Xenopus tropicalis: one gene and its partner. The protein of the gene in region 2 purifies or fractionates together with the protein of the main gene of each other region. This does not show direct contact. Links are inferred from orthologs where the notes say so. Each region holds a gene or a part of one and is shown on either strand. Other genes may lie near its edges.

Region 1 (3,659 bases), on a different chromosome or scaffold from region 2:
TTATAACTTGTTCCCATATCTAGCCATCTGTTGCTCACAATGTTTCACACACTGGCAGAGGAAAGATGTTTACACTGTCACCATTGTGCCACAATTTTGTACAGGCCTGGCTTCATATGGTTAGCCTAGAATATTGCCAGTGTTTGTATTATTTGCCAAGAATTAAATCTAGGAAGATTCTGGCCCTTTCCATCTTACCAAGTTCTTAAATTAAAGACAGGCAAAATGCTAATGAGAGAATTTAACTCTTGATATGCTATTTGTTAAATACAAAGTTCAGACAGAGGAACCTAGGAATATCCCTTTATGCAACAATACTGTCAACCTCAGTATTAAGAAACAACCACACACCCCATCCAGACCAGGACTAACTTGTTTCAAGTGTTCAGACTAGTTCATTTTTGTCACTCTTCCAAGGAAGGAGGGGTATGTACTCATGGGTAAAAATATTGTACTTCTAGTGCTAACAAGAGTGACTCAGTAGAGGGCCATCTCAATGAAATGTAAGAATTTGATGGTAAGTCATTCTAAGTTTTGAAATAACATCTAACAAGGAACCATGCATATTGGAGTGATCGGTTTGTTGCCATATATATTACCTGGGTAGGAAGAGCAGCACACCATTTGTGCGAATGCCGTATATAACAGCATCACTAATACACCGCTGGTCAGAGTCAGGATCTTTGTCCTTAAAGAACATGCACTGGAACAACTCAGTGGATTGTTTCTGGCAATGCTGGGCTGCCTGCGGAGTATAAGAGGGTGCATTAATGGAAACCACTTATATACCGCTGACTCCAACCATTGAACATTTACATGGAAAATCGATAGCAAATGTAAAAGCCAGGTATTTTAGGACAAGAGAGTTTCTCAGACAAAACTAAACTAACAAGCAGAGAAACTAAGGGTGTTTGCAGGAAGAACTTACTATACCTTTAGGAAAGCCACTTTAGGAACACATTGTAATGTCAGGTAAAGTAGCTATGTGCAGTAAAGAGCAGATTTCATAACCATAATCCATTAGTCACAGATATTCCCATTATATAGTAAATCTTTTTTAGCCCTTTACGGACACTTGGCACCTTTCTTGTTACATTAGTGCTAAATGATAGTCATTGCCCACTAAATGGCCAAAGGCTTCCAGACACTCACTGTATTCAGGAGCTTAATACGTTTAGTTTTCATTGGTGAACAGCTGCACACAAGCCTAACATCACCAAGCACAATGCCAAGCCTCAGTGCCCCGGCCCATGGAAACATTCACTAGAGTGACAAATTGAGCTTCACCATCTGGCAGTATGACAAATAAGTCTGGGTTTGATGGGTGCCAGGAGGATGCTACCTGCTTAAATGCATAATGCTGACTGTAAAGCTTAGTGGAAGAGAAATAATAGTCTTTTTCTCCTGGTTTACGCTAAAGCACCCTCTTACAGGGAAAGCAAACCTTATAATGACATTCTAGATCATTCTGTGCTTTCTACTTTTTAGCTATATTTTGTGAAAGGCCATTTCTGTTTCAGCATAATTATTCCTCCCTACAAAAAATGAGGTCCATACAAAATTGGTTTGGCGAGTGTGCTCCCTGAATGTACCATCATAGAAAGTGCTTTACAACCTAATTTGCAAAACTGTATTGCTGCAGAGTTGCTATGGATAACTGCATGCTAAATAAGGCTGAAAAATATTTCATTGAAATTCTAGAAAGTTAAATTAGGATTCACTGTGATATCTGTCTCTGGGAAGGCTCTAGCCCCTTGTTGCTTAGATGGAATTTGGGCAACAGAATTTCAATACAGAATAGAAATGTTCCAATTGCCAGTCCTGCCCTTTGCACTTGACTGTACACTTACCCGGTTACGGACATTTATGTGCCGACACAGCTCTTCCAAATCCTTGTTTCCAAGCAAATTATCCTTGGGGCCTTTGTTAACAGCGGCCAAGAGCAGCCTATGCACCACTATGTCAGCATAACGGCGAATTGGAGAAGTAAAGTGAGTGTATTTTTCAAGAGCCAAACCTAAAAGACATTGATATGCAAGTTATACACATGCACACTGCTGCTTAGAACAATCATCTTACAACAACGGTCTCAATGTATAAATGTCATGACAGAAGCTGTCCAAAATGGAAAGTCTGTATAGCAGCTAAATAATTCTAGAAAATAAAGAAAATTATACAAACCCTTCCTGGCTTGTAAAAAGCCAGTTCCTTTCATAACATTTTTAAAGGACCAGTAACACCAAAAAATTGGAATGATTTATCTGAATAATGTAGCACATATTTATACCAAGTGCTTGTCAAAATATTTTCTTGGAATATAAGCTCTTGCTTTTATTATGCTGTGTTTGATTTCAGTATTGCAGTGTTCAGCTATTTTGTTTTACTTATCTTAGGAGGTCCTGCCAACCCTATTTTGTTCAATGAAAATTCAAGTAGCAATAAACAGATCTGCTTATCGGATGAATTTGGTAAACCAAACTGCGCTGATGCTATTTGTCCCTCAAGGTGATGATCAGATTACAAGAGGGACCCTATATAGACAAGTTAAGAGGATACATGCTTCATAGATATGACCAGTTATCAATCTGCTAAAATCCTTTCAAACCAATGGGCACATCATTTGAAGGCTTCATCATTAAAACCAATCCAATCTAATTCAAGCAATGCTAGTGAGTTAAAAAACATGCGGGACTCTGTTTAAAACATTTCCATTTCTAAATGTGTTATTGGCTGTTTGAGTAAGACTTTATACAAATGCAGAGTTTGTTATATTCACCATAGTGATAGAACTCATCCTCAGTGTATGAGCCTGTAGAGAAGTACCGGGCATTAGACATAGCCTGTGTAGCCATCATTCGCAACAGCTGGTTAACCAGAGGATCAGAAGGGTCATTTGCCTGGTCAAGTGAATCTGCAAGAGCTTTATTAGATCTGTCAGAGAAACAAACAGATGTGAACGTCATTAAATTGTGAGACCAGTTGCTCAAATCTCCTGATAAGCCCTGATAATTAATGGATGTTGGCTTATCCAGCCACATTTGATATTGGCTAGACTTGATCCAATGAACCTATATCACAAAAGGGTTACCTGGAGAATAGATATTACCTTGTATCAATGGAAAATCCTCTGGCCTTTGCACATTCCTTCAGCTCTTGGAAGAATTCCTGGCGAGCTGGGGGGTGAAGGCGTAGCAGTGCATGCTGAGGGTAACACTCCCAAATCTTCTTGGCCACCCAATGATTGGCAAGGATCATACACTCTGCAATGGTCTCATGCATCTGAAGTGGCTGCTTAGGGACAAGGTCATCAATGCTGTGTTTTTCTCCTAGCTGGACACGTACCTCTACCCCTTCCAGTTCTAAAGCTCCACTCATGTCTCTCCGCATCCTGGTGGCATGAGCTACCTCAGTCAACTTGCCCACTGCCCACAGGAGCTGCTCCAGTCGAACTGGATCCTGCTTTAGGGGATGCAATTCCATTTCAGTATTTAGAGGCTCAAGGTCTCCATCCATCAGCTGTTGTGCCACCTCATAACTGAGCTTGTACGAGGAGCGAATAATTGTCCTGCCATACCATACTCTGCGGATCTCATACGTACTGCTGTCCATTTCCCAGATTACACTTACTGCATACCTGTCCATAAAATAAAAGATGAATT
Region 2 (3,248 bases):
CTTCTAGATGACTCAACTAATTATTATAGGTTACAGTTGTTTATACCCACAAGCATTTTAGCTTGCGCTTACTACGTAAGGGAAAATAAAGATGTCGCTTACTTTCTTACTAAACCCAAAGAGACTTTTAACATGAGTCCATCTTGTCCAATGACACCCTTCCCGTTTGCTTTTCCGGAGCTGTCTATGCAAGCCATCTCTGGCTCCATGTCTTTATTAGCAACAATAAACTGCCCATACACAAGATCCCCAACCTGTAACAAAGAAAAATTCAGTTAGGAATGAAGGAAAAAAAATGCTGGGTTTGTTTAATGTCTTTAATTGGACCTTTCAGTTTTTACTGTGTGATTTGCTTTGAAAAAAATGTAAATTAACTGGAGCTGGAAATTTTATGTAGTTTGTTCATCTACTCCACTTTCACTCACTTTACATATCTCCTACTCAAACTGTCCAGTCACCTGTCTCATCAACATATGTAAAAGATATACATAAGGGATATACAGTCTTCAGGGCTTCAACTGTTGCTTAACTACCTAAAGGCATTGGAGATTCTGTGTAATTGTAATTTGAAAACTGTTTAAAAGAGTTACAAATTATTTCGTTTTTTTTGTTTTTCAAATTCTCAAACAAATCACACCTATCCTCTAAACGGATGACAATAAGAAGCAAGCCATACATGTGTTTTTGTGGGTTACGCCAGGGAACGGTAAAACAAAAGGCAAGGTAATGCCATGGTTGGTCATAACCCTAAGGCTATCAGCTCAATGTGGAAGTTCCCCTTTAAAGGAGAACTATACCCCCTGGGTATGCACAAGCAAGGTGGAGAGACCCGAAGACTGTTCACTCACAGGGAAGATGTCAGCCAGGTACGCAGCTGCACTACTCTGCTCTTTTAGCTTAGGATTAGCGATAGGGACATTTTTAAAAGTTAGAAACTATGCAGTAAGGGAGAGGTGAGGGGGGTCAAGGCAGTGATAGTTAAGGGGGCTTTTATAGCCCGGGGGTATAGTTCTCCTTGTTTTCCAATTTTTTTGTATTTTTGTTCATGGTTTTAGCATTTCTAGCTTTTCTATTCTGCTTCTTTCTGGCCTGAATCCAAATATGATATCTAATAATTGATCCATTCAAAAACAGAATGGCTTTGAGGCTAATTATGGTTATTTTTTTTTTTTTGTATACTTTTATTTTTCTTAGTTTTAACATATTTTGTAGACATAGCATATTGTTTGCTAGATGCATTATCAGACTTAGAGAGTCTTCTACATTCAACTGCATATTTACGTGCATAATAGGGCAATATGAGGGGGAGAGGGAAAAAAAAGGGGGGGGGGGATAAGGGGAGAGAAGGGAAGAAACATAAAAAAAAAAGGAAAGAGAAAGAACAGAAATCAACATAACTTTTTGCGCTCAGTGTTTCAGTGTTGGTATGAGATATTCATTGTTATTGGTTTACGTTTTCCCACAGTTGTCTATTATTTTTTCTCAGGTTGGGGGTAGGGACGCTACCCATAGTCTTAATTTAGTATCCAAGTGTCCCATATCTGCAGGTATAACTCTGTTTCATTTTCCAGTTGGTATTTGAGAGTCTCATTTGTGTGTATATATAAAATTTTTTCCAGGACCTTTTCAACATATAATAAGTTTGATTTCCATTGGGCTGCGATATGGATCTTTGTTGCCATGCATACGTGCTGTGTAAGGCGTTGTGCTGGGTTATTGAGGTTTTGTGGTTTGTGTCCTAGAAGCATTACCTTTGGACATGGGGTAATGTTTGTGTGAAACAGTTTAGTAAGAATGTCCGCAGTTCTTGGACCACTGGGCAGGTCCACCAGATGTGCCACATGGTGCCTCGTGAAGTACAGTTCCTGAAGCAAGGTGGCGAGGATGTAGGGTAGATTCGACAAAGTCTATCAGGCACATAATAGGTCCTGTGGAATAGTTTAAGTGAGCTTTGCATTATTGCTACATTGTAGCTCCCTTTACAGACGTTTTGATAGTTCTTAAGCCATGTTTCTTGAGGCAGTTCAATTCCTATGGTTATTTTTTTTATTGCTTATCTTTCCTATTCATTTTTCATTTTGACTTTCAAACTGCTGCTTGGTTGCTGGGACAATTAAGTCCTAGCAACCAAACAGCTACAATAACAATCAATTTAAATACACAAAATGGCTGACTTAGAAGACTGTGTACAACATATTAAACCTTAATTTAAAGGTAAACTATCCCTTAACTCTTTACAACCATGATGATAGCATGTGGATGGGACACTTCTTTCTAACTCAGAGTTCTACATTGATAAATTTCTAAAATTCAGAAAACCATTTTACCTTAACATTTGGTCTGTTTTTCTTTGTTGCACCTTCAAATGCCAGATAGGACAATGATGCTTGCTCACTGCCTCCAACGTCCACCTTAAATATGTCTCCTGATTTTGTAGTTACAATTCCAATAACATGGTCTCCTTTCACTGGTACATACTATAAGATAACAAGTGGAAGAATTAAAGTGTGTCCCCGTTGTTCCTTCACAGCAATAACAGATTATGTTTAGAGTTTAACTGCACCCCCATCCCATGAGTATCTCAATATAATACACCCAAGCATAATGGAGCTAAAATGTATGTGTGTGCGTGTGTGTTAAAATGTATGTGTGTGGTTAAATGCACGTGTTTGTACTGTGTAAAAGTGTGCGTGTGGTTAAATCAGTAAATATGTTTATAAAATAAAATGTATTTATATAATTTATAAAGCTGTGTGGGAAAAAACATCAAGACATATAGACATTTACACCATATATAAAAAAAAAAAAAAAAATGAAAGTTATACATACATATACGCACCAACATAATTATACAAAACATCCTTGGGGGCAGTACTGGGACAAGCCAACCAGGCGCCCTAGGCAACCTGGTCGGCTTGCCCCTCCCCTCCCCTCTTGCATGCGCAAGTGAGAAGACATGCCTGCACACTGGGTGGTGGGGTTGCCAGGGCTGCTGCAGTGGGGAAACAGGGTTCGGAACTAGAGGTAGGTAAAAGAAGAGGAAGCTAACTGGCGCCCCCATTGGGGCCACCATTGCGCCCTAGGCAGGTGCCTCTTCTGCCTACCCCTAGTTCCAGCCCTGCTTGGAATGCATTTCTAGGATGTCACTTTCGTACGATTGCTGTCTTTTACTTTCAAAACATCCTTTAATTTATTATTTTAGGATTTTGTCCTATAATTTAAATCTTAGTTTTAGATTGTCGCATTTA

Evidence for each region. Proteins that work in one complex are often made in the same cells at the same time.
Region 1: the proteins of exosc3 (region 2) and dis3l purify together in Homo sapiens (affinity purification with mass spectrometry; 6 studies listed by BioGRID and IntAct, counting the BioPlex papers as one, with this or other methods). This does not show direct contact. The link is inferred for Xenopus tropicalis from reciprocal best matches to the Homo sapiens genes EXOSC3 and DIS3L.

The regions. Positions count from the first base shown.
Region 1 is NC_030679.2:117,124,850-117,128,508, reverse strand, and holds part of dis3l (DIS3-like exonuclease 1), read right to left. Parts: intron 3,635-3,659; coding exon 3,107-3,634; intron 2,932-3,106; coding exon 2,777-2,931; intron 2,018-2,776; coding exon 1,851-2,017; intron 746-1,850; coding exon 600-745; intron 1-599. UniProt on the Homo sapiens protein: Catalytic component of the RNA exosome complex which has 3'->5' exoribonuclease activity and participates in a multitude of cellular RNA processing and degradation events.
Region 2 is NC_030677.2:113,704,413-113,707,660, forward strand, and holds part of exosc3 (exosome complex component RRP40), read right to left. Parts: intron 2,478-3,248; coding exon 2,328-2,477; intron 255-2,327; coding exon 103-254; intron 1-102. UniProt on the Homo sapiens protein: Non-catalytic component of the RNA exosome complex which has 3'->5' exoribonuclease activity and participates in a multitude of cellular RNA processing and degradation events.